Linked DNA regions of Oryctolagus cuniculus. The protein of the gene in region 5 purifies or fractionates together with the protein of the main gene of each other region. This does not show direct contact. Links are inferred from orthologs where the notes say so. Each region holds a gene or a part of one and is shown on either strand. Other genes may lie near its edges.

Evidence for each region.
Region 1: the proteins of CTBP1 (region 5) and FOXP1 purify together in Homo sapiens (affinity purification with western blotting; 3 studies listed by BioGRID and IntAct, with this or other methods). This does not show direct contact. The link is inferred for Oryctolagus cuniculus from reciprocal best matches to the Homo sapiens genes CTBP1 and FOXP1.
Region 2: the proteins of CTBP1 (region 5) and EHMT2 purify together in Homo sapiens (affinity purification with mass spectrometry; 4 studies listed by BioGRID and IntAct, counting the BioPlex papers as one, with this or other methods). This does not show direct contact. The link is inferred for Oryctolagus cuniculus from reciprocal best matches to the Homo sapiens genes CTBP1 and EHMT2.
Region 3: the proteins of CTBP1 (region 5) and AMPD2 purify together in Homo sapiens (affinity purification with mass spectrometry; 3 studies listed by BioGRID and IntAct, with this or other methods). This does not show direct contact. The link is inferred for Oryctolagus cuniculus from reciprocal best matches to the Homo sapiens genes CTBP1 and AMPD2.
Region 4: the proteins of CTBP1 (region 5) and DYRK1A purify together in Homo sapiens (affinity purification with mass spectrometry; 4 studies listed by BioGRID and IntAct, with this or other methods). This does not show direct contact. The link is inferred for Oryctolagus cuniculus from reciprocal best matches to the Homo sapiens genes CTBP1 and DYRK1A.
Region 6: the proteins of CTBP1 (region 5) and TRPS1 purify together in Homo sapiens (affinity purification with mass spectrometry; 3 studies listed by BioGRID and IntAct, counting the BioPlex papers as one, with this or other methods). This does not show direct contact. The link is inferred for Oryctolagus cuniculus from reciprocal best matches to the Homo sapiens genes CTBP1 and TRPS1.
Region 7: the proteins of CTBP1 (region 5) and EHMT1 purify together in Homo sapiens (affinity purification with mass spectrometry; 3 studies listed by BioGRID and IntAct, counting the BioPlex papers as one, with this or other methods). This does not show direct contact. The link is inferred for Oryctolagus cuniculus from reciprocal best matches to the Homo sapiens genes CTBP1 and EHMT1.

What each region holds. Positions count from the first base shown.
Region 1 is NC_091441.1:78,271,887-78,275,386, reverse strand, and holds part of FOXP1 (forkhead box protein P1), read right to left. Parts: intron 3,384-3,500; coding exon 3,217-3,383; intron 1-3,216. UniProt on the Homo sapiens protein: Transcriptional repressor. Can act with CTBP1 to synergistically repress transcription but CTPBP1 is not essential. Plays an important role in the specification and differentiation of lung epithelium.
Region 2 is NC_091436.1:138,643,127-138,647,071, reverse strand, and holds the start of EHMT2 (histone-lysine N-methyltransferase EHMT2), read right to left. Parts: upstream 2,801-3,945; 5' UTR 2,758-2,800; coding exon 2,475-2,757; intron 2,380-2,474; coding exon 2,161-2,379; intron 2,066-2,160; coding exon 1,812-2,065; intron 1-1,811. UniProt on the Homo sapiens protein: Histone methyltransferase that specifically mono- and dimethylates 'Lys-9' of histone H3 (H3K9me1 and H3K9me2, respectively) in euchromatin.
Region 3 is NC_091438.1:60,791,596-60,795,889, reverse strand, and holds the start of AMPD2 (AMP deaminase 2), read left to right. Parts: upstream 1-1,494; 5' UTR 1,495-1,681; coding exon 1,682-1,682; intron 1,683-1,698; exon of another isoform or gene 1,699-1,806; coding exon 1,807-1,953; intron 1,954-2,619; exon of another isoform or gene 2,620-2,757; coding exon of another isoform or gene 2,758-2,922; intron 2,923-4,294. UniProt on the Homo sapiens protein: AMP deaminase plays a critical role in energy metabolism. Catalyzes the deamination of AMP to IMP and plays an important role in the purine nucleotide cycle.
Region 4 is NC_091435.1:7,445,262-7,448,761, forward strand, and holds part of DYRK1A (dual specificity tyrosine-phosphorylation-regulated kinase 1A), read right to left. Parts: intron 2,995-3,500; coding exon 2,870-2,994; intron 1-2,869. UniProt on the Homo sapiens protein: Dual-specificity kinase which possesses both serine/threonine and tyrosine kinase activities. Exhibits a substrate preference for proline at position P+1 and arginine at position P-3.
Region 5 is NC_091433.1:411,761-415,260, reverse strand, and holds part of CTBP1 (C-terminal-binding protein 1), read left to right. Parts: intron 1-570; coding exon 571-715; intron 716-859; coding exon 860-1,066; intron 1,067-3,500. UniProt on the Homo sapiens protein: Corepressor targeting diverse transcription regulators such as GLIS2 or BCL6. Has dehydrogenase activity. Involved in controlling the equilibrium between tubular and stacked structures in the Golgi complex.
Region 6 is NC_091437.1:140,958,932-140,962,431, forward strand, and holds part of TRPS1 (zinc finger transcription factor Trps1), read right to left. Parts: intron 1,557-3,500; coding exon 495-1,556; 3' UTR 1-494. UniProt on the Homo sapiens protein: Transcriptional repressor. Binds specifically to GATA sequences and represses expression of GATA-regulated genes at selected sites and stages in vertebrate development. Regulates chondrocyte proliferation and differentiation.
Region 7 is NC_091432.1:237,927,273-237,930,772, reverse strand, and holds part of EHMT1 (histone-lysine N-methyltransferase EHMT1), read right to left. Parts: intron 305-3,500; coding exon 129-304; intron 22-128; coding exon 1-21. UniProt on the Homo sapiens protein: Histone methyltransferase that specifically mono- and dimethylates 'Lys-9' of histone H3 (H3K9me1 and H3K9me2, respectively) in euchromatin.

The DNA.
Region 1 (3,500 bases), on a different chromosome or scaffold from region 5:
AGTAGACCCCTAATTGAGATCAGATTTTTGCTTTTGCCTTTCTCTTCCCATAGTATGTCTTACATTGTAGATAAAGCAGGGATTTTTTTTTTTTTTTTTGCAGCCTTGACAGTTATAATTTTAACAGTGATAGGGGATTCCTCTGTGTATTAATATTAGGCACTTTTCATTCATCCTTTTACTGTTAACATAAAGACCTTTTTATCCATTAATCTTTCTGTTTGTTGATTTACCTCTTTTGGATAAATGTCTAAGAATGGAATTGCTGGGGAAAAGGCCAAAACATCTTTATGGTTCTTATGATATTTATTGCAATTATTAATTTCCAAAGTGGCTGTACCTTTGTCTACTCAATCTCATCAGGACACCTAGTCATATTTAAAAAATATTTTGTTGCTTAGGTATAAGATAAATTGAGGTTAATATAAATTGTGTTTCTTGAACTAATGACAATGGTGAACATTTCAGGATCATTGTAGAGAACTGTTACTTCATAATAGCCATTGGGTAAGAATTTTTATTTTACTTAGCCACGTATTGAGGTTCAAATTTCATTTTCTATAGCAGCATTTTCTCTTCACTTTTCAAACTATCTGAAATTTTTTTTTTCATACTTAGAAACCACAATCTGATGGCATAAGATAAAATCAAGCTTTGTGGGGAGATAGGAGAAGAAAGAAGTCATAATGTTAAGTTCTTGTTCTATAGTTTTGGACTTTGACAAATGTTTTGCTAAGCTAAGAAAACATTAGATACATGGAAGGCTCCCACAGAACACAGTTCACAACATCAGAGAAATACTCCCCCTTCCTCCCAATACTGGCAGTGAAAATTCACAATTACGTACTATCCCAAAGACACAGAGTGCTAGCTCTAACCCTGTGGATCCCCAGCAAATACTAATGACTAGATCTGTGTGACAACCTGCCAACACAATCATGTTAGCTATTAATTTCAATTTCAGGACATTTCTCCAGACCCGCAGATATCTGAGTGGCAAATTTAGTGACAGAAGCCTATAGTGATTCAGGGGGTGAGCAGAATAGATTTCCATGTCAGGTAAGTTTCAGCTAAGACACAGACTCCGTAGGCTGCTGTGCTTCACCTACGGCACCTTCTTCCCCTGCAGACCCCTCCCCACCCCTGCTTGCTTTCTCTAGCACCTGCCTCCAAAGGCCTAACCAGTGAGTAGCTGCAAAGCCACACATTGCCCTTTCCTCCCAACTGAGTAATTCCTTGGTTTAGCCACTCTGGGAAGACAAGAGTTTTTAAATAAAGTTGACTAGTGTTTCAGGAGACAAATGCAGTAGAGTGTATTAGAGGGTCATGGATAAAGCAAGAATGAAGAGTTGAACTGCTGCAACGGAGCTATTAGCTGGGCTGCCATCCTAACAAGGTCCTGTAAGCCCTGCTGCAAAGTTCGATGGGAACCCTTGAACACTGTTTGCATCACATCAGGGTAATGCATTTTGGATAAGTATATGGTCAAAAAGACTACCGGTGTCATAGGCACAGGGAGTCTGCTGTTCACATAGTTACACTTAGCAAACTGAGCAACGCATTTTGACATCTTCATACAGTTTCTTTTAAAAATTATGATGACTGCTGTAAAACATTGTTTTAACTCCAGCATCACGGAAAACAAAGTTGTTATACAAATTAACTTTATAGTGATTTTATTTTGCACAGCAAAATTAGCATCCCCTTACACTGTTGCCTGGGAGGCTTGTATTTAAACATTGTCTCTTTTTAAACAGCCAACCTTTGTGTCATATAACAAGAACATACATCAGCTAACCCTCAGAGGTATACAGATTATGAGAACTAGTATCTTTCCCATTCGGCAACTTTAGACATTTTGCTTTAATGAGTTTTTATGGAATTTGCTTATATGCCAGTTTACATTTGCTCTGAACTTCTTTAATATCTGAGTAAATACTTCTGTTCTGAGAATGATTTAAAGATGAATCTGATTGTGATAACAATAAAGTCGGGGAGACAGCAGGTTGCTTTAGAAAGGATGAAACACAGCCGCAGCAGTGTGAAAGATAAACACAATCTGAAAATGTTGTGAAGGAAATGCTAAGAGACTGTTCATATCAATTAAAAATGATTATTGCCATGTTTCAAAGATCCTTTTCAAAGCACGTTGGGCATGAAATTCAAATGCTGGAAAATCAAATTTCAGATTCCCCTATACCCTCCAATTATGTTGGCAGATAGCATTTTTTCTTTGTCACTAGATGCCAGTTCATTCTGTTCCTAATTGCTACAGGTCATATTTTCCATCGCATCACTCACATCTTAAAATAAGATGTTGATCAGTAATTCAGGAAGAATGGTAGACAAGAGGCCCGTTTGAGGAGCTGACACTACTGGAAATGCTGAACTGGCTTACTCCCTTAAAGTGGGCAAGAGTTTCCCGGAAACTGACTACAAGGAAGAATGTCCTTCCACACCACCCCCTGCAAATCAAATCATTTGGGATAATAAGGTTTCTTTTCTCTTTTGAAGCTCTTCCTGGGCCCCAGGGGCATCTCGGCCTTGTGGCTGGGCCGTTCCTGTGGTTTGCCTGATCCCGGTGCCATTCCCATTCGGCGTGGGCAACCGCTGCCCATCACTTCATTCAGTTGTATGTGCACTCGTTACACTGCCGTCTGCTGCTGTAATGCTCCTATTAATTTTCCTTTTGATATTTTAAGAGCAATCTATAAATCACGTCACCTTTCATTTGTGCCATCATTAATGCTTGGTAATAATGCTGCAGTCCTGCATTCTTGGTGAGGCTTATCACATAGAAAAGTAAACACCTCTACTCCCTGCTAGATTCAGCATGCCTGAAAGTTGAACTAATTACAAACTTTTGCATAGAGATACAAACTGGTTTTAGGAGAAAAAGGCAGTGTGGCTTAAATAATGGCCTGAGATGTAAAACAGGACAGGGCGGCAATAGTGCATTTATCTCCCGCTTTACTGTTGTATGCACTTTTAGGGCAGGATAAAACTATTTTTATGAGAAAGTTAGCAGATTGCCCTTTTTCATATGTACACTGACCTAAACATTTCTTTGGAAGCACAACCTTTTACCTGGATCCTAGGAAATCAGAAATTATAAAACAAGCCTATGCAGAGGTCACAGGAAGGCTTGTGCACACATAAAACAAAGCGGCTGGGTGGGGCCTGGCAGCCAAGGCTTTTCGAGTGGACAGTACTCACACGGCTTGCATAGGGGATCTGCCCGGACTGCTGTCGCTCTCGTTGCTGTTGGTATGCTCCATTGCCCCATTCAGTTCTTCCCGTATTGCGCTGGCTAAATTGCCCAGAGTGGGATTTCCCATGGAAGCAGTAGTGTAGAGAGGTATACTATTCTCAGCCATCGAAGCCTGCCGTCAAACCAAAGGAAAACTTGTGAACACACAGGGTTATGCAATAGAAGGAAACTGAAATCTAGGCATATTTAACATCAGAGCACTGAAGCAAATCCAAGTTTCTAAGAGGTG
Region 2 (3,945 bases), on a different chromosome or scaffold from region 5:
GACCTGGGAGGCAGCAGCTGATGGCTCAAGGACTTGGGCCACTGCCACCCACATGGGAGACCAGGATGGAGTACCAGGCTCATGGCATTGGCCTGGTCCAGCCTGGCATTTAGGCAGTAAATAAGCAGATGGAAGACTTCTCTGTCTCTCTCCCTTTCAAATAAAATCAAAAGAAAATTTTCAAGTATATTTCAGAATAAAAGATTTTGAAATCCATACATAGTGTTTTCATAATATGCATTTCCCACAAACTGTGAAGTAAGCTTCTAAGTCCTCAAACTCAGAAACAAAACGGTTGTCAGGGGCTTGGGAGAGAATAGGGGAGTTATTAATTTTTTAAAAGATTTATTATTTTTGAAAAGCATAAATAGAGAGAAGGAGGGAGGGAGAGAGAGAGAAAGAGAGAGAGGGGGAGAAGAGAATCTCCATCCTTTTCCATCCTCTGGTTCACTGCCCAAATGGCTGCAATGGCCAGGGCTGTGCCAGGCCAAATCCAGGTCTCCCACGTGGGTGCAGGGGCCCAAGAACTTGAAGACCGCTGCTTTCCTAGGCGCATTAGCAGGGAGCTGGATCAGAAGTAGAAAAGCTGGTTCCCATATGGGATGCCAGTACTGTAGATAGCCACAGTGCTGGCACTGGGAATTACTGCTTAATGGGCATAGCTTTTAGTTTTATAAGCTGAAAATTATGTAGAGTGCTGGTTGTACAACATTATGAATATACTTAATACCACAGAAGTAGTTTAGATGGCAAACTTTACATTATACCTATTCTATCATGAGAAAAGAGGCTTCACTGAGGCTACCCAAACCACACCCAGAACACAATACCAAGAGCCTTAACACTCTGCAGCTCTGCAGAAGATGGCCCAAGTGCTCGGGCCCCTGCCACCCACGGGGGAGACCTGGATGGAGGTTCAGGCTCCTGGCTTCTGCCCGGTCCAGCCACGGCCACGGCACTGTCTGGAGTTAACTAGCAGATGGAAGATCTCTGCCTTCCGAATAGTAAACAAATCTTGCTTCTGGGATGCTGGAGCCTTCATCATTTCCCTCTGCCAACATTTCTGTGGCCTCCATCTCCTTCCTAGTAGGGATTCTCAGTGAAAACTTTACATACAAAACTGCGGCAGTTTTGGGGCCGGTGCTGTGGTGCAGGGGGTTAAACTGCTGCCTGTGTTGCTGGCATCCCATACAGTCCTCGGTTCCAAGTCCTGGATGCACCACTGCCAATCCAGCTCCCTGCTAACGTGTCTGGGAAAACAGTGGAGGACTGCCCAAGTGCTTGGGCCCCTGAACCCACGGGGGAGACCTGGAGGAACTTCCTGGCTCCTGGCTCTGGTCTGGCCCAGCCCTGGCCATTGCGGCCATTTGGGAGTGAACCAATGGATGGAAGACCTTTCTCTCCCTCCCTCTTCCTCTCTTGGTTAACTCAGACTTTCAAATAAATAAATAAATCTTAGAACAACAAAAATTAGGGCAGTTTCAAAGAAGGAAAGAAAAATTCCCTCAGGGCTTGCTTTGAGGTAGAAAGGAAGGGTGGTTAGAAATTCCTTTACATGGTCATTATCATAAGAGTAAATACGACATTAGCTATTTAATTAACTCTTTAACATCTGTATTCTACTCTCACCACTCCTCCCCCGAGAATGCAAACTCCAGAGGGGGTTGGGGAGCAGTCTGTGCTCAGGCTCATCTGAATATCAGACACAAAGTAGCCCCCTCATAAACACCAGGTGTGGAAGGAAGAGACTAGGCCTAATGCTAAATTGAAAAAAGACCAGCTTTCTCCCAGTCCTACTCCGGGATCCTCACCTGTCCATTTCCTGGTTTGGCCATGGTTTTCCGGGCTCGGTGGACCTTGGGCTGCCCCTCTGGGCTGGTGGTGGCTGGAGAGGGCTCAGGTCCCGCTGCTGCAGCTCCCTGGGCCCCCGGCATACTCAGCAGCCTCATAGCCAAGCTCTGCACAGATGGGGGGGACTTCCCCGCCCCTGTCATGGACATCTTGGCACGGCTCGCACAGGCACCCCCTTTGCTGGGAGACGAGGGGAACGACTTTGTGGCATGGCCTGGGAGACAAAGAGGCAGGCAGAGGACAGGGTGAGAAGGCAGGCAGGGTTAGACGGTTCCCCCACCCTACAGCCCAGGCTCCCCAGCCTCTCACCCAGCAGGACTCGGCCCCCAGGCAGGTCCCCATCTCCCTCCAGGCTCTCAGGTTCGTCCCCAAGGAGAGGTGTAGCCCCTACAGGGGTGTCAGCCCCCTCATCGCCCACGGTGACAGTGACAGAGGCCGGAGAGGAGGGGCCAGCAGGCTCCAGGGAGTCGGGACTGGCCTTGGGCACGGTCTCCTCGCTACGAGGAGTGTCTCCCAGGGAGCCGTGAACTGTGGAGGAAGAGAAAAAGTTCAGGGCTAAGGGTTCCGGGCCCCTGCGGCAGGAGAGCCCCGGGGCCAACTCAGCCGGCTCCTGCTGCACTCACCTCTCTCGGTGGCTCCTCGCGGCTCCTGGTCCAGCAGCAGCGCCCCCATCTCAGCGGGGGCCTCCCCCTGGGAGGGGAGACAAGGGACAGGGGGTGGGCTGGTCAGTCTGGGAGAGAGCTGGGGGGCCCAGGAAGCCTGGGCCCTGGGCAGAGAGAGGAGGCTCCGGGGCCTACCTCTCCCTCTATGGGGCGCCCCTCTTCCTCGGCCTCGGCTGCCGGGAGGGGCCGCACGACCCCTCCCCCGGGCCCGCATCAACCCCCTCCCTCTCGGTAGACCCCGCATCTCTGGGGCCGAGAGGAGAGGAGGGGGAGGGGGCGGGGCCTCAGCGCCCCGGCCCCGCCCCCTCCTCCCGGCTGCACGCGCCGCTCCCCCTTTGTCCCCCAGGCCGCGGGGACCCCGGGCACCAACCCCTCCAGCGCCCGCTGCCCCCCAGCCCGGTGGACGGCCCCTCGTGCCCCTCGCGCGCGCTCCTGGGGCCCCGGCACCCGCCGCCCACTCGGGGGCAGCCGGCGGCTGCATGCGCGCCTCCGTGCCCACTCCCCCCACCTCCCACCCCCTGGTCCCCTCATCCGCCCCCGGTGCTGGCCCCCCGGTTTGCTGCAAGTCCCGCCCGGGCCCCCCGGCCCCGTTGCACCCCCGGAGCATTGCACGGGCGCGCGCTTCCCCCGGGCGCGCGCGCGGGCATGCACCCGCCTCTCCCCCTCCCCTTCCGCACCTCGGCGGCCGCCGCCGCTGCAGCTCCCGCCGCCGCCGCCATCGCCGCTTGCGCGGGGGGCTGAGCCGGCGCGCGGCCGCCCCGGATCACGTGGGCGAGGGAGGGCGGCCGGGGAGGGGCCTTAAAGGAGCCGCGGCACGCAGCCGGGCCATTTTCCCCTGAGAGCGGCTTTGGCGATGGCAGTGGCTGTCCTTACACTGGGGCCTGCATAGAATTCCTGTCGTTCCCGGCGTCGGCCCTGCAGAGGGCCAAGGACGAGGGCCGCCCGGGTTCAAATGTAGCTTCCCCATCCCCACCTCGGGTTAGGTAACAAGCCGGGTGTCCGAGCCTCCGGACGCAACGGCGGCGGCTGTGTTTGTGTCTGGCCCGCTGATCCTTCCCCCGCATCTAGCTTTTCTATTTCTGGTTCACCACAGGGAAGGCTCTGCCTCGGGTCGAGGCCTCGCCTTCATAAACGAGCACGGAAAGGAGCGATAGGGACGCACAGGAGACACCGTGACTATTGGCTTCTCCTGGAGCGGCGTCCCCTTTTGAAACCCTGGGTCTCAGTGCCTCCTCTAGGCAGCCACGCGCAGTGGAAATCCAGGTAAGCCCAGCCGCCCGACAGTCACTGGCTCGTGACCTTGCATAAGGAACCTTTTTTTTTTTTTGGCCACACGTCACAAGCACAGGTAGGCACCTTACTCCGTGGGTTATGTTGCCCAGCTGAGTTTCGGCATGAATGATATACACCATAGACATACAGCCCTGGCAGA
Region 3 (4,294 bases), on a different chromosome or scaffold from region 5:
TTATGGCACAGTGGGTCCAGCTCAGCCAGCAACATTGGCATCCCATATCCTGGCTGCTCCACATCTGATCCAGCTCCTTAATGCGCCTGGGAGGGCAGCTGAAGATGGCCCAACTGCTTGGATCCCTGCCACCCATGTGGAAGACCAGGATGCAGTTCCTAGCTCCCAGCTTCAGCCTGGCCTAGCTCTGTCCATGGTTGCCATTTGAGGGGTGAACTATGGAGACCTTTCTGTCTCTCCCTCTCTCAGTCACTTTGCCTTTCAAATAAATAAATGTTTTTTTTTTTTTTTTAAATTCCTGGAGGTGGAGAGCTGTGTCAGATTTAAGAACCTTTATGAGATTCTTGATTATCTACTACCAAATAGCAATGTTTATAGCCTCCGGTAGTCTGTGTGTGTGTGTCTGTGTCCCATTTCACTATCCCCTTGCCTGCATTGATATGTTTTTCTTAGGCTTTGCCGTTTTGATTGGTGAACATGGTATCTCCTGGTTCTCTTTTTCTTTGTAAGGTGAAGGCATTTCCTCCCTACGTTTACGAAAGCCATGGAGTTTAAATTTGTTCCAAGCGTGGGGCAAGAGACAAGGGATCAGTGGAGGCGACACCAGGTGCAGGCAGAGGATGGGGTTCAGGGTCCAGAATCCAGTGTGGGGAGGGCAGAGGGAGGCAGAGTTTGGGAAGGAACTTGGCTGCGTGGGAGGTGAGAACTGGGAGGGACCCGACAGACTGCGTTAGCACAGCTGGGTGTGGGGGGCAAAGGGCTCCCACAGGGGCAGGATAACAATGACTTTCAGTGAGCGCTTAGGGACTTCCTGTGCCCCTCCCCAGTGAGGATGCCGGCCGGACAGCGTGCCTGCGGTGCCCAAGACAGCTCAGCTCCACTAATTTATGGGCTGCAAGGTGAATCAACTCGTGAGCGTGTCACTTGGGAACCAAGTCCAAGGCCAAACCAATGAAGTGATGATGCAGGAACACTGAGGGGTAACTACAGGCCGGCACAGTTATACACACTTATCTTATGTTAGCTCATTCACCTTAAACAACCAGCATATAAAGCACAAGAAACCGAAGCAGTTAGGTAGCCAGGGAGGAGATCGAAGTCCTGAATTCCAACCCAGGAATTCGGGCTACGGAGCCTAACCGGCAAATACAGAAGTTAGCGTGGGAGGGGGAAGATGGAATCGGAGGACACACCCTCGCCCGAGCCGAACGGGCGGCCCAGGTGAGGACGCCGTCGCCCGAGGGGCCGCACTTCGGTTTCAAGTGACTCCCGAGCCGCTAACCACGGCTACCCTTTCCTAGGCCCCCGCTGGGCCCAGCGCCGCTTACCCCCAGAGCGCGGCGCTGTCACCGCTCCGTCCCCCGCCTTACGGAGGAGGAAGCTGGCGCGCACAGCTCGCCCCCCACCCGGCGCCGGGCCAGGCCCACCGCGGAGTTCGCAGCCCACGTGGCGCCCGGGAAAAGGGGCGGGGCGGGGCCAGCCCGGGGGCGGGGCCGCGGGGCCTGGGGCCACGGAGACTGGCGCGGCGCCGCTGGGGTTCGGGTGGGGTCGCACCTGTTGCGCGGTTCCCCTCTGGCCAGCCACGGGAGTCCGGCGCCACATACCCAAGGCGTGTTGCGAGAAACCCGGACGAGTTCCGGGTCCTGCTGGCTGGGGGAGCACGTGGCCTGCCCGCTTCTCCAGTGCGTTGGCTGGGGGGTCGGGACGCCGGGGTTGCCCGAGGCCACTCGGTCGGCCGAGGTCGGCTGCGGTTCGCCCGCAGCCGGCTGGAAATTTTGAAAAACTGCCCTACTTTCCCCAACCCAGTGCCAGGTCACGGCCCTTTGGAGCGACTTGGCCGGGGTCTGGGGCCCAGCCCCTCTCCCCTCCCTCACGACCCGGGCTTCCCGGCTGTGCAGACCCTCGCGGGCGGCTCCCCCAGTGCCCCTCGGGATTCAGGCAGCATGGCCTCGGGTAAGTGTGTGCGCGTATGTTGGGGCGAGGGTCTCTGGACTCAGAGGTGCTGTGGCCAGGGTGACAAGAGTGTGGGGGTCTTGGCACAATCTGCAGGACCTCGGGAAGAGGCTGGGGAAGCGGAGCGAGTGTGGAAGGGAAAGTCAGAAGCGGCTGGGGGTGGGGTGGCGGGGCGTCCCTTCCCCAGACCCCAGAAGAGCCCCTGGCTTCCTGGGAGGTAGCTTCCGCCGGTCCGTGGAATTTTCCCAAGGCAGGCCCCTCCCTCCTGGGCTGGGATTCTCCGTTCCACTCCCTCCTCCGTGAGCTGGGCTGCCCCTGGAGCCGGGGGTCAGGTGGAGGAGCAGAGGGGGCAGAGCCTCGCCTCGAGGCGCCGGGTTTTGGACGGAGCGCGCCTGCCCCGCCTTGCCCTGCGAGGAGTGGGTTCTGAACTAGGCGAGCTCGGCCGGATTCCTCTTTACGGCGGTCTTTTGCTCTCCGGCTGGCTGGACCAGCCAGCCTGGACTTTGGAGCCCTGGCCGGGGCGGGGGGAGGTTTCCTGAGCGGGGGTGGGGGGTGGCGGGGTGTGGGTGCGGTTAGTGGCGAGCTGGAGGCCGGCCCTCCCCGATCTGGTAGTCTCCACCCCGCCCCCCAGATCCGGCCGCCGTCAGTCGCGTCACTCGAGGGCTAAGGGGCCGGGATGGAGGCCCCACTCGCCGACGTTGCCTAGACAACATCAGAAATCGTGGCCAGGGCCTCTTCCGCCTGCGGGGCGCTGCTTCCTGCATCAGTCACTCCCGCTGGGGGCGGGGCGGAGGAAGGGGTTGGATGTGGCAGAGCCAGGCCCCAGCCGGTGCGGCTCAGACTCCCCCGCTGTCGCCGTGGCCCCAGCCATGGCATCCTATCCATCTGGCCCCGGCAAGCCCAAGGCCAAGTACCCCTTTAAGAAGCGGGGCAGTCTGCAGGCCTCGGCTGCCGCCGTTCCAGGTGAGTGCGGGCTTCCTGTCCTCAGGTACTGGCTCTGCCTCACCTCCACCGCGGATGGCTCCTGAACCCCCCCACCCCGCCCGGGGGTGGGGGGACCCGCCTTCCCTGGCACCCTGCTGCTGCTGCTGGTGCCTTGCCCTCAGTCCCAGCGATGGCTGGCTTGGGAAGTGCAGTGGGGAGGCAGGCGAGCTGGGGGGGTGCCAGGTTTCTGTGTCAGTGATGCTGCTCCCCGTAACAAGGAGTGGGTGCAACGAGAGGTGTGTGTGTGCACACGTGTTGGTGTGTGCATGTGGGAAGTGTGTGTGCATGGAGTGGAGGCGTGGGGGCCTTGACCGGCAGGCTCAGGCTTCCCCTGAGGGTAGTTTCTCTTTGCAGGACCCCACTTGGAGGCTGCCCTTCCTGGGGGTCTGAATGGGGGCTCCCCTGCCTCTGCCGCTGGCCCATTCCTGGGGTGGGTTGTGAGTCCCTGAAGGGGATGGGCTGTCCTTGGGGGTACCGCATGGCCCCTGCACCTCTTGGTTGAGCTCTCAGGCTGTAGGCGTCTCTGCAGCATTGGGGCAGGCGGTGTGGTGCGGCAGTACCTGCCTCCCGGGGGCTCAGCTGCCCAGGTCTGTGCTTGCTGAGCAGTCAGCCTGCCGCCTGCGACGCCCCAGGCCCCCCCCCCCCCCCCCCGTGGCTGAGGAAGGACCCTCCCCTGCCTGGCTGACCAGGTCACCCTCCCAGCCCCTGGCTTCCTACCCATAGCTCAGTCCCCTTCCTGCTGTGTTGTCTTATGCTATTGAAGTTGTCTGGTCTGAGGTCTCTACTGCCCTGGGGGTCTCTGCCGAGGTCCAGGCCTTTCGTGTGTCCTAGGGCTCGGTCTGTCCTGGTTGCCCTGTTGCTGAACAGGAGACTTTCGTGGGTGGTCAGACGGTGGGTGTCTGATACTTGTGGGTCACAGACTTGGGCACCTCCCTGCCTACTGAGGCAATCTTGGTGGCCAGGATGTTGGAGTTGGTGGGAGTGGCTGGGGGCAGCCCCATCTGGCTTCTGCTTGACTCCCCTGTGTGAATGTGGGTGTGTGTATCTGTGGTGCTGCGGCCAGAGACCTCCTCCATAGTAGGCAGCTGAGCCTTGGAGCTTGGCCTGGGTGCCTGGGTGTCATCTCCGGTGAACCCTTCAGAGCTCTCTTCAACGACCAGCAGACTGGCGGGATGGCTGTGGCCGCTAGAACCTGGCTTGTAACTCCCAACGCTGCTGTGGAGGCCCCGGGCCGCCGGCTGGGGGCCAGGCTGAGGTTAGGGCCTTCGCGGCAGCTGGTGAGGAGCCAACACAGACCAGCCTCTTGCAGGAGATTAGGAGTCAGCTGGGGCCCTGTGTGAGGGATCAGAGTCCTCAG
Region 4 (3,500 bases), on a different chromosome or scaffold from region 5:
ACGTTAAACGCTGCAGCCGTTCCAGTCGCTGAATGGGCGATCACGTGGGAGGCAACTCGGCATCGACTCCTGGAGCTGACACTACCCCTGACCCGGCAATCCCCACCACAGGGCACTTACACGTGTGCCTCTATGGAGAGGTCTTTTGTGTTCATGGAAAACGAAATGAAAAGATGATTTTTGAAATCCATGCATGCTTTTCTCGGGGCAGGCAGTTTCCATGAATTTTTTGAGTCTCCCAGAACTGAGATACTCTGGATGATTGCACCATTATTTATAATAGTAAAAAAATATTGGAAATGAAATAAATATTCAGTAACAGGGAAACAGCAGCACGACCTAGAGAATATCTAAACAGTGTAGAACCCTGCAACTCCGCCCCCAGCCCTCTGAAGGCTGCAGCACCTGTCTCTTACTGACAAAGAAGGGCTCCAGGGCGCCAGACCCTCACGGGCGCCAGCTCGAGTCCTGGCTGTTCCATTTCCAATCCAGCTCCCTGCTACTGCACCTGCGCAAGCACTAGAAAATAGCCCAAGTCCTTAGGCCCCTGCCACCCACGTGGGACACCCAGATTAAACTCCTGGTTTTCGCCTGGCCTGGCCTGGCCCTGACCATTGCAGGCATCTGAACCAGCAGATGGAAGAACTCCCTCCTTCAAATAATTACATAAATATTTAAAAAAATAAAAAAGAGCTCCAAAATATATTATCAAATGTGGACAAACTAAGATGTTAAAAGGAGTGTATGGTGTGTTACTATTTGTGTACAGAAACTGGGTGACAATCATACTTGCTGGTGTATGCATAAGAGATACCAAAAATGGCTACAAAACCCTAATTAATGTTAGTTTTTATTAGAGTTGGGTGGCTAGAGGACATGGAACAAAGGCCAACTTCATGGAGTCCTCCATAAAACTGACTGCCTTTCACCATGACTGCATCAACCGTCCAGACACTGAGCAATGAAGGAGTGGGAGGCACACGGGTGGGTGCTCCTGGTGTCTCCGTCTTCGCTGTACTGAGAAGGGGGAAGGATGGAGAATCAGGGGAGTCCCTGGCAGGAGCGATGCTAAGTCAAGACCTAGAGCAGAAGACTGAGCAGCACAGAGCACCCAGGCCGAGACCTGGCCCAGGCAGCAGAGGAAGAGCCGTGACACGCGGCACACAAGCAGCAGTGTGAGTGCAGTGGGAAGGAGGAGGAGCAGCCTGCATGGGCCCAGGGCGTGGACTCCTGGGCACCTTGGCAAGAGGTCTGAGCTGCATTTTAGGTGCAAGGGGAAGGCGAAGAGTGGTTCAACGCAGAGAGAACAGTGAGCTCAGTCTGCTCGGTCAGCCTCACTCGGCTGCAGGGGTGAGAGTGGTGGTACAGGCCAACGGAACTGGGTGTACGACGACTCAGCAGAATGCTAGAGAGGGTATGAGAGGCAGAAAAGCCAAACACTCAGGGCCTACCACCCACGTGAGTCTGAGACCCAGATGGAGTGCTAACATAAGATGGCCCAAGTACCTGGCTTTGGCCTGGCTCTGCTCCGGCCACTGCAGGCATTTGGGGAGTGAACCAGCGAGTGGAACAGCTCTTGTCATGTCTCATTGTCTCTCTGCCTTTCAAGTAAAATGAAGATACATAAATCTTTAAAAACTCAGAAATAAAGGCACTGGGGCTCAGGGAAGAAATCTCGGCCAGAAGCAGATTAGGAATCACAGACGTGGTGGTGACTGCAGTCATCAGAAGGGGCGGGTCACAGGCTGGACCTCCAGAAACGCCAGGTGTCCAGGGGAACAGGAGAGGAGATGCTACAAGCCGGGTCAGTGAAGCAGAGGGCGGAGAAGTGGGGGTAGTGGACATTCTGCCATGGAAACCAGAGGTGGCCCTCAGAGGACAGGGAGAAGTCAACAGCATCCAACATGGCCAGGAAGCAAAACATTAGATGGCATTAGGCGTCCACTGGACTCAAGGGTGGCAGTGGGGCAGGAGGCAGGACACTAATGTGGCAGACCTTAGCCGGTGAGGAGACGGAGACGACAGTGGCCGAAGGCAGAGTCAGAGAGACAGGCAGTCAGACAGAGGTTCTGCTCAAGATGGCAGAGACCGGGTTTCATCAAATGTTGATCAACAGGAAATAAGAGGGAGAGGCCAAGAACAGGGTAGAGAGGGTGACCAAGAGCACAGTCCCAAGAAAGCCCGGGCGACAGGGGAGCAGGAGGCCCGCCCCAGCGCTGGGGAGGGTGAGGGAGAAATGTGGTCGAGTGCACACACGGAGGCAGAGCTCCCTCTCCAGGCAAGGGGAGCAAGGACTGCTAAGAGGCAGGAAGAGAGATGGTGACTGGAGGCGTCCTGGGAGCCTCCCGGCTGTGCCAGCACTTTCAGCCCGAGTCTGGGGAGTGGGCAGTGACCGGAACTACAGGCTGGCCTCCCATGTCACAGAGCAAGGCTCAGGGGGAACTAACTTACTACTTTACAGGAGTATTTAAATATTTTCACCATCACCATCTGCCTCCTCACCCCAATTTTAAACATTACTTCTTTAAAAGGTTTAAAAAGCATAGACAAAAACATGGGCTAAAATCTTATCACACAGACTCAGAATCCAGGAGTATGACGAGTACCAGGCCCTGGAAGGCAGAGGGGTAGTAGTTAAGATGGGGATCAGGGAAAGTCACCTAACCCAGGCAGTCTCAGACGTCGCTGAGACAGTAAATAGGTGAACACAGGAAGAAAGCATGCGGGACAACAGGTGCACACCCAACAGCACCAGCCAGCCCTTCACAGGAGAGGCGCTGCAAGAGCCAGATTCCACAAGACAAACAGGGGCACATGAGGGAGTCATTCTAGAGCCTCTGCGTCCAACGCGGGCGACGTGAGAGCTTACCTGGGGACTGTGTGTCTCGCAGTCCATGGCCTGGACGGCGGCCGTGAAGTGGCCCCCGCTGTGCCGGTGCTGATGTGTTGGATCCGACCTGGCTCGCCCACTGTTGCTCGTCCCCGATGATCCACCTTCAACACCACGACACAAAGCAACTTGTGACTTTAAAACTCAAAGCACACTTGAGCAGTGCATATAGTATACATGTATCAAATTATCACACTACACAAATAGGTACAGTGACTGCCAATCAAAAATTTTTTATAATTAAAAAATTTAAATATTAACTTTAAAGTATATCGTAAAGTCATCAGTTTCTCTAAGTTCTCCCAAATCAACCACTGAGCCAGGGCCAGCATTGTGGCACAGCATGTTAAGTAGTTAGCTGCAACACTAGCATCATACAGGAGAGCCACTTCCAGTCCCAGCTGCTACATTTCCAATCCAATTCCCTGCTAACGCACCTGGGAAAGCAGCATAAGATGGCCCAGGTACCTGGACCCCGGCCACGCATGAGGGAGACCCGGATGGAGTTCCAGGCTCCTAGTTTTGATCTGGCCCAGTCCAGCTGTTGTGGCCATTAAAGGAGTGAACCAGCAGATGGATCACTCTGTAATTCTTTCAAATAAATAAAATA
Region 5 (3,500 bases):
TGTGTTACGTGTGACATGTGCAGCGTGTGGGATGTGTGTGCCGCATGTGGGGTGTGTGTAGGGTGTGGGACGTGCGCCCCCACCAGGCCGCAGCCTGTGCTCCCGCGGCCGTGTCCACCCCGGCCGAGCACGGGGCGATGGCCTGCACAGCTGAGGCCGGGCCACCCTGCCAGCTGGGTCGTGGGAATGGAGCCTTGTCAGGGCCCCGGCTGTGCCCAGGGTCAGCGTGTGCGCCCTGGACTCCCGTGTCACGTCCCAGGACCACGCGCGTGCTGTGGGCCGTGGGGACAGCGTTTCTGGGTGGGTTTGTCACTGGGGACTCGTGTGTGTTTCAGGGCTCACCCCTGCTGGGGGTCACGGCCAGTGGCCCCGTTCCTGCTCCACTGCTGTCTGGGCTCAGGCTTGGGCCACGGCTCCTCAGAGCCCCCCTTTGCCGTGGCTGTGGCCCCCCACGGTGCTCAGGGCTGGGGGCCCTGCTGTACCCCACGCTCTGCCCCCCGCCACAGGTGCTGACGAGGCCGTGGGCGCCCTCGTGTACCCCACGCTCTGTCCCCTTCCCCTCCCCCACAGGTGCTGAACGAGGCCGTGGGCGCCCTCATGTACCACACCATCACGCTGACCAGGGAGGACCTGGAGAAGTTCAAGGCCCTGCGCGTCATCGTCCGCATTGGCAGCGGCTTCGACAACATCGACATCAAGTCAGCCGGGGACTTGGGTAGGTGCCCGTCCCTGCCGCCCAGGCCCCGCCCCGCGTGGGGCTCCCACAGGAGTCCGCAGCCTGGGGCTGGGCTGACTGCCGTGTGGCCCCCGAGTCAGTCCCACGCCTGTCACGGGCCAGGCTGACCCTGTGTCCCCACAGGCATCGCCGTGTGCAACGTGCCCGCCGCGGCCGTGGAGGAGACGGCGGACTCCACCATGTGCCACGTCCTCAATCTGTACCGGCGCACGACGTGGCTGCACCAGGCGCTGCGGGAGGGCACGCGGGTGCAGAGCGTGGAGCAGATCCGGGAGGTGGCCTCGGGGGCCGCGAGGATCCGCGGGGAGACCCTGGGCATCATCGGACTGGGTGCGTGGCCGCTGGCTCGGCAAAGGATGGGGGGCAGCCCGGGGGGGCGCCGTGGGCATCACACACGCACATACACAGACGTCACGCAGATGTCAGCAGCCGTCACGGGTGTCACACACACAACATGGACGTCACACACAGGTGTCAGCAGCTATCACATCACATACACACATGGATGTCACACTCATGTCAACAGTTCTAACGGGCATCACGTGACACGGGCACAAGAACATCACAGGAATGTCACGTGCGTCACACAAATGACAGGCACACGTGGGTATCACATGGGTGTCATGACACAGGGACATGGGTGTCCCATGAACATCAAGGCATCACACGGGTATCATATGCAGACGAGATGGCCATATGTGGGCATCACATGGGTATCACAGGCATGATATACCTGGGCACCACGCCTGTGTCACAGGCATCACGTGGGTGTCATGGGCACACACGTGGCTGATACGAGCACAGGGACACGGCTATCGGGCACACAGGCCTGAGAGTTGTCACACGTGGGGAACACGTGGGCGTTGCATGGGCACAGGCACCAGATGTGCAGCCAGGTGGGTGCTGCCATCAGGTGAGGGTGCCCAGAGCCTGTGCCCCTGGGGGTGGTCTCTGTCCCGTCCGCTTCCTTGTCACGTGTGGGCGCCAGGCCCCAGCATGGCCTAGAGAGGCACACGTGTGAGTCTGGGTGGCCCCGGAAGTGTCGTGCAGGGAGCCGGGGCTGGGAGAGGGGGTCCCGTGTGAGCCCCAGAAGCCGTCTCGCGGGGCCTCAGGCCTTTCTCTGGAAGGCGCTGGCCCTGGCTGTGGCCCCAAGCCTGGTTCTCGGCCGGGCATTGCGCTGACCAGGGGTACGGGCTGTATTGCCTGGGGGTGGGTGGGTGCTGTGGCTGTCCGGGCCTGCCCCTACTGGCGGCGTCCTCCGGGTCCCTGGCACACGCGATTTGCAGAACGGGCAGAAGCTGGGCTGTGGGAGGTTTGCTGTGGACACACGGCCTGTGGCACGGGCAGCTGTGGCCTGCGGGGCTCCTGCCGTGGTCTCGGCATCTGGGGTGCCCTGCTCTGGCGGCCAGTGTCCAGTGTGGCCTGAGCCTGTGGCCCTCGGTGTGGTTCTCCTGAGCCTGGGGCCTTCTGGGAGCCGAGGGCTGAGGTTCTGTGTCCGGGGACGCCCCCGAGTGCCGCAGCCCCACTGGGCAGACCTGAGCCCTGCCCACGCCCCTGTGTGTGCCCCTCTGTGGGTTCCACGGGTGACCCATGTGATGGCCACTGCTGGCCAAGTGGAGCAGCTGTCTCCCTGCTGCTGCTGGCACGGGGCACCTCTGCACCCCATGCGGGTCTGAGGTGGGGTCGTGACCTCGGCACCCTGTGTGTTCCCCAGTCGGGCAGCGGCTTCAGGTGTCACTCAGGACCTCCTGCTGGTGAAGGGGACCCCACTGCGTGACTGCACCCCTGTGTGTGTGTGTGTGTGTGTGTGTGTGTGTGTGTGTGAGGGAGAGACAGGCAGAGTGAGAGTGACAGAGACAGAGCGAGCGTGACCGAGACAGTGACAGACACAGACGGGAGAGTGACAGAGCAAGCCCCATCTGCCGTTCACCCCCCAGATGCCCGCACAGCAGGGGCTTGGCTGGAGCCAGGACCAGCAGCTCCGTCCAGGCCCTGTAGGTGAAGGGCTCAGCGCTGGGGCCCTCTCCTGCCCCCACCCCCGCCCCCGCCCCCAGCACTGGCAGTGCCCTGCGCCCCGCCCCACCGGTCCTTTACCCATAGCTGCAGAGAAAGTTCTAGAACCATGGCTGGGGCTTCACGGGGGAGGCCTCTCCTGGCCGTGCCGTGTGCACTTTTCCAAATGTCTGAGACCCCACCCCTGCCCTGCTGTGGGGGCCCCAGGATTTCTTTCTTTCTTTCTTTTTTTTTTTTTTTTTTTTTAAGTTTTATGTATTTATTTGAAAGTCAGAGTTACACAGAGAGAGGAGAGGCAGAGAGAGAGAGAGAGGTCTTCCATCCGCTGGTTCACTCCCCAGATGACCTCAACAGCCGGAGCTGTGCCGATTCAAAGCTAGGAGCCAGGAGCTTCTTCCGGGTCTCCCACGTGGGTGCAGGGGCCCAAGGACTTGAGCCACCTTCCACTGCTTTCCCAGGCCATGGTAGGAGCTGGGTTGGAAGTGGAGCAGCCGGGACTGGAACCGGCGCCCATATGGAATGCCGGCCCTGCAGGCGGCAGTTTTACCCGCTCTGCCACAGCGCCAGCCCCCTGGGTATTTGTTACCATGCCCCAGACCCCTCAGCGGCTCCTGGGACCCTGGCCCACGTTTTGTGAGTTGGGGTCTCCACCCCCGTGCAGACGGCCCCTGCTTGCAACTCATCCTGGAGGTTGCTGCACCTGTGTGTCTGTGAGAGACGTGGGTTCCGGAACGCTCCTGCTCTGGGTGGC
Region 6 (3,500 bases), on a different chromosome or scaffold from region 5:
TGCCTTGGAGATCTGACTTCTCCTCATCTGCCTAGGATTTCATGACACTTCTAAATTTAGGCAACAATCTGTGGATCTTTGAACCAATGGGCCAATGGCCAGCCCAATACTGCTTTACTTGCATCATGTGTAAATTCTTTCTAATTCTAGCCAGGTGTTACCTTTCTTTATAAACACAGCAATTATCGTCTGGTGGTACTTCTTACAGATCACTTCCCCAGTGCACATCAGTCAAGATGGTTTTAACTTAGTAGGTTTTAAAAAAAAATGATTGTTTGCCATCTTCCATTCTTTCTCACTGACCATTTGCCTCACTTTTTAGTCTCGGTAACCTACTCATTGAAAGAAAGAATAATAAAAAGAAGGGAATTTCATGTTGGATAAGGCAGGCTCTATGAAGTATTTCTTTTAATAGGTCTTCATAAGACATTACAAGCTATTGAATTCCCATCAAGAAAACCTATTTCTATGTAATTGTGCTAAGTGCTAAGGTTTTACTCTTTAGGTTTTCCGTTTTTTTCTGCTTGTGCATTGTTCCTATGCAGGCCCCTCTGGATATGTGTTGTGAAGTCATATTTGTCCGTGCAAAGATGCTGGCATATGCTGCACTGGAAAGGCCCACTGTCACCATGGCAACTCATATGCAAAGCATACATCACTTCATCCAGAAAAACAATGCCACAGTGCACACACTTCGTTGAAAGTTCATCTTGAGTACTTCTATCAACTTTCTCTGTTTTTACTACATTCAAGGGACCTTCATTTTTTACATTTGGTGGTGCCTTCGTTTTCTCCTTGGAGGCACCGTTTGCAGTTGGCCCAGGTCTGGAATGCTTGATCGCCAAATCTAGAGGAATGTCATTGTCTGATCCAACAGCTGAAAAATGAGGAGGCAGATTGAAGGTGGGATAAGGCACATAGTTTTGGCAAGGATTTGGTAGGCCAGGCACATGACTCAAGTAGTGCGGATTCCCAGGAACGGAGAGCTTATATTTACTCCAGAACCGCAGCCAATCAGCTTCACTCTGGAAGTCATTATGTACAAAGGGAAGTCCAAAAAGTGGGTACTGGTACTTTTCAATAGGGCTGCCTGGTGGTGAATAATTCGGGTGCTTCGCAGGTCTCATATACTTTTCTATGGGACTGCCTCTCTCAGAACTTCCTTTCCCTTCAGATACGGATGAGCTATTTCCTGGATCTCCAGTACTTTCCTGAGGACTTTTTATCTGAATGTGCAAAGGTTGCATCCTTTTGTGAATATCCAGAGTTTGGCCGACCAGGACTGGCTGCTGAGCAGAATGGCTTTTAGTCAATGAACCCGGGGCTTCGTATTTGCTTAGGCTCGGGAGCGGAATTTCTCTCTGGTGACTTTCAGTTACATGATCTTCTGACCTCCTCTCTAACGGGCTCCCGTTGACCTGCTCCTCACTGCTACCCCTCTGCTGTTTGTTGAGCTGCTCAGCCTGAAGTGCCTCGGGGTTAAGGCGCTTTCTTGTTCTTCTCCTAATGATCTGCTCACCGTTGTTTTGTTTAATGATGTTTAAAGGCCTGGGAGTCTGCAGAGAACACACACACAATACATAAAAGGAGAACATTAAAAAAATGCATTTAAGTGCATTAAAAATTCCTCACAAAAATAAAGCAAGCTTAAGTTCAAAGCAGGGCTAGACTTTATGCTATAGATTTGTTAAATCTCCTCCTCTGCCCTAAGCAGGATCAGGGGAAATCACCGAAGTGCACTATTTTAGCCTAATTAAATCATGTCCAGTTTTATGGGGGGAAGAAGGGACTGAAAACTTTAATCTACTTGGAGACAGCCGTTCCAAACTCAACGGATTTGAAGATGGCATCATTTATAGAAAGGTATGTGAAGACACTGACTTTTCTGGAATATTTTCCATTTTTGTGTTCTGCACTAACGTAATAACAAAGTAACTCAGGAGATACGTATTGATATCAACTGGAAAACTGTGCACTGCTATGGACTGAGTTGCACCCTCCAAAATGCAGGTGTTGAAGACCTAACCCTGAATGTGACTGTGTTTTGTGATAAGATCTTCAGAGAAGACATTAAGGTTAAAGAAGGTTATAAAGGTAGAGTCCTAATCCAATGGGAAGAGGGGAAGAGAGAGGTATCTCTCCCCACCACGGGAGGACACAGCAAGAAGGCAGCTCAGTGAGAAAGAGCAACCTCCTGGACACCCAGTCTCCTGACCCGTGAGAAAATAAGCATTGCTACTGTTCTAAGCAGACCAATCTGTGTCACTTTGTCAAGGCAGCCTAAGCGGACTGGTACAAGGATACTGCTGTGAGTTCACAGGAAATAGAATGAAAAGACAAGTTTACTTTGGTGAAAAAATTTTTGAAGTCCATGCATATTTTTCTCACAACACACCTTTCCCATAAACTCCCTGAAGACCTCTTTTACATGCATCCTTCCAAATGATTAGAAATGTGGTTATAAAATATGAATTTTGTGAGGAAAGAGATCAGATAATCAAAATCGTATCAGAAGGTTGTGTTTTCTCTCATTTTTGTCTTCTTAAATGATATTTTTATATTCACTAGGGAAGATTCTACTTGTTAATAGGCAGAGCATTAGTTTTCTGTTGAAAGTCTAAATTCATTTGTGGCCTTGGTTCAAATACTCAATCTGTCACTCTACTCTTTACCTAAAATGCATGCTGACTTTTACTCAGCTTAAGTGTTTTATTTAGCTTTACGTTCCTGGCAACTATGTGTGTGTTCAACAGGTGTTTCTATAACATGACTAAAATCAACAGATAAGACTAAAAAAAAACTTTACTTGCAGTGAAAGTTCTAACTTGATTTATAAAATTAAAATAAGTTTAATGAATCAAAACATATTTACAGAATAAAAATTCAGGATAAATTTAAATAGGCTGCTGAAATCAGAAAATAATATTTTCCTTTTTTAAAAGATTTATTTATTTATTTGAAAGGCAGAATTATAGAGAGAGAAGTGTGGGGAGCAACTCAGACTAGACTAAGTTACTGGAATTAAGATTTATTCTATGCATCTGCTCTCCCACAATATGGCGCTGGGAGAGAAGAAAACAGCTTCTACACAGCTGCCTCCAGTTCAGCCAATAAACTGTAGGACTTGCTCCTGATTGGAGGAGAGCAGTGTACTCGGCGTGTGGGCAGCCGAGTTAGGATTGGCGGAGGAGGACTAAAAAGGAGGAGAGAGACGGCATGCACCAGGAACATCTAAGGGGAACATCTAAGGGGAACACGTGTGCAGCCCCTGAGAGAGCCGGCCGGCGGTGTGCCGCTCCCCTGTGGAAGTGGGGAATGTGGCAGGGGGAACCGCCCTTCCACGGAGGTGGAAGGGACGGCAGCCAACCCGGGGAGGGCCGAGCAGACAAAAGAACAGTGCAGGGTCCTGTGTCGTTCCTCCACGAAGAGGGGGAGCGACAAGAAGGAGAAACAGAGATCTTCCATCTTCTGGCTCACTTCTCAAATGGCTGCAATGACAA
Region 7 (3,500 bases), on a different chromosome or scaffold from region 5:
AAGCGCTCTCCGTAGTCGAACCTGGGAGGGGAGCAGGGCTCAGCACTCACCACACGCTGGACATGGCAAGGGCAAGGCCCCCGCGGGCACGCGGGGCGGTGTGGGATGGCCCGCACAGGCATACATACCCCAGCTGCTCTCCGGCCTCAATCAGGCGGGTGCTGAAGAAGGCGACCCTGGGGAAGCGCAGGTCCTGGTGGGACATGAACACACGCACCGGCACCAGGTTGGGCTCGCAGTGGTGGTTGATGAACCTGCTGACATTGCCGTAGAACCGCGCGTCGATGCAGTACACCTCCCCATCCTGGAGGGCGAGAGAGGACAGCACGCGTCTTCCCTGGCCTTCCGTCCACTATGGGCTCAGCAAGGCAGGGTCATCTGTGAGGTCCCAGTCACGGGAAACAACCTGAGACAGGTGGTGTACACGAGCCACACGAGCAGGCCCAGGGCTGCGACCACACACACAGCGCCCGTGGTGGCGAGGGCACGGGGCAGAGTCGGGAGATGCAGGACTTGCCGGCAGGACAGGAGGAGACACAGCAGATGGGACACCATCCCCGAGCCCTGCACCCCACAGCAGTGCCCCCAGCCTGACGTGCACAGCTTTGGCCTACCAGCAAACCCCTCACGGGCTGTGAGGTCAGAGACAGAAGAGCACTGTTCCAGAACCCAAGTCCCACGGGGGACAAGGCCTGCACAGAGACCACGCCTGGAACGCACCGTCATGTCCTCATGGACGTGAGCCACGGCCAGCACGTCCTCACAGGCCAAGGGACGCTGAAAGCCCTAACCAGCACAGTGCAGCCTGCACAGAGGCCAGTCTCTAAGCCCTCACAGCAGGGCTTTCAGGTGTCGGCTGCAGGCCTGGACAAACACCCGTCGACGCCCTAGGACGACAGACTCAGCAATGGCTACCGAGATCAGACGGGGTCATCCCACTTGGACCTTGTGACTCAGTGGTGTGGGACCAGGTGTCCAACCCTCTCTCCTGAAGACAAGGACTCTGGGATCTGCACTGAGAGACTGTGGACGGAGGCCTGACTGGCCAGAGCATGACCCCTGGGGAAGGACCACGGGGTGGGCAGCATCAGGGTCTGTGTGAGAGCAGCTGCACTGAGTGTGAGGAGGGAGGAGACCCTAATGGAGGGGAAGACCCCAAGGGAGACTGACAACAGGCAGAGACCAGCGTGGCTCACGGAGAGGCAGCTGCAGTCGCACCAATAAACAAAGAAATGGATCACACTCTAGAGAAAATCAGAATTCTCCCAAGTTATCATTAACAACCCAGATGAGCTGACACACTAGACAGCAAGACACGGACAAAGAGATGGGAAAATCGGCAGAGCTGGCTGTGACTGACGGACCCCGAGGCTGCCAAGGCTGCCCTCGGAGAGCCCCCACAGAGCTCGTTCTCTGCTGACAAACAGCAGCAGAGGAGTCAAATGGAAATCCTGTGCTGAGCGTGGCCGTGAGCTGCATGCCTGGACCACGGAGGGACGGAGCCTGAGGACTGCCTCTGGTGGTAACAGCGCAGCTCCGCCAGGCTGTTCCCTGGGAGGCACTGGCAGCAGCAGCCACGGCCGAGATCAACCTCACAGTCCCAAGCAGACTCCGAGGGGTCCCACGTCCACAGCACGACGCCATGTGCGGCGCGCTCGCAGAGGCGGGAAGCCGAGGGGTCCCACGTCCACAGCACGACGCCGTGCGCGGAGCGCTCGCAGAGGCGGGAAGCCGAGGGGTCCCACGTCCACAGCACGACGCCGTGTGCGGCGCACTCGCAGAGGCGGGAAGCCGAGGGGAACACGTGCAGAGAAGGGGGAGGAGCGCCGCCTGCGCCACGTTCTTCCTGCTGCACAGACGGCAGAACCGTGATCCCGTGCCTGTGTGGGAATCCCCATCCCTCAAGCTGAAGGTGTCGGGAGGAGGAGCCCCCGGGAGGTGAGTGGGCTCAGTGCTTCTCCCCTACACAGAGGAGGCGCTGGCCATGAGCAAGCGAGGGGCCCTCACCGGACACCACACGTGACGGTCCCTTGCTCGCAGACTTCCGGCCTGAGCTATGAGAAGAGCGTCTGGTGTCTGTTGCAGCAGCCTGAGCAGACTGAGAACACAGCTAACAGAAAACAGAACACGCAGAGCAAGGCTTCTCTGACTCGGAACTTTCTAGATTTTACCTTTAAAGCAAAGAAATACTTTGCATAATCAAAAAATAAAAAATTCCTAAATCTTCAATTTTGAAATGAACTAAAACAAATAAAGCTAACTGCACGCCAAAGCTTAGCCCAGCTGTAACTGACTGAGTCCCAGCAGCCTGCAGCAGGAGGTACCCACTTCTCAGGAGCGGCAGTGGCACTACTGATCGGAGTTTTCCACCATGAAAGATACAAATGTAATTGAAACTATTACCCCCAGCGCACTGGAGAACTCTAACAGCATGTTCTGAAAAGCCCAACGGCGCGGCTGCCACATGTCTGATGCTGATGGCAGGCGTCTGGCGTGCGTCTGGCGTGGTGGTGGTGACGGCTCAGGCCACTGCACCTCTGCCACCCACATGGGAGCTCCTGCATCATCAGCCTGGCCCAGTCCTGACTGCTGTAGACATCTGTGGAGTGAGCCAATGGACAGAAGCCCTTTCTCTCTTTCCATCTTGTCTGTCTGCCTCACAAATAAATAAATAACAATAATTTTAAAAGGTCATTCTCAGAGGAATAAAGATGGTGACCGAATGAGAGGCTCTGCTCTGGTGACTCCTCCCCCTGTAGAGACGCCCACGTACAGGGCCGGCCACACACACACACACCCCAGGTCAGGAACCTATGACTCTGGGGGTCCACGTGCGGCCAGCCTGCAGTCTGGGAGGTCAGGGCATGGGGTAGTGTCTGTGACACAGTGCTGGGCTGTTAAATCCCAGCACTGGGCAGATCCTGAGGACAGAGCTGGGCACACACACCAGTATCAGGCGAGACCTGTGTCCTGCCGAGACCAAACTGGTGGTGAGGAGCACTACTAGACTCTTGCAGGCCTGGTCTGCACAGAGCCTGGTACCTGTGGGACCCAGTGGGCCCTGCATCCACTGCCTAAGTGGCTAAGGAGTTGCCTTTATCAGCTGCCTGCAAGCATGGGCAGACACAGTAAGGAATCACACAACTGTTTTGGGACCCAGAGCCAGGCTGATGAGCAGATCCTCAGGGTCCCTGCCTCCAGGCCACTGCAGTGGTCACAGCCCAGCCAACATCACAGTGGTAAGGGGGTGACCGCAGCAGCAGCAGCACCTGGGCAGGTGAGCCACACTGGTCTTGTGGCTGAGGGCTTGGGATAGGAGCCGGCCACCCAGCATTCCTGCACACAGGACAGGAGTCTAACCTGGTGGCAGGCCCAGGAGTGGCCTGTGGGGATGGACCCACCTGGAGCACATCTCTACTGGGGTGCTCTCCAGCGCTGACACGGCAGAATAACCCTAGGCTCAGAGAGAACAAGCAGACTTCTCAGGACTTCTAGATGGA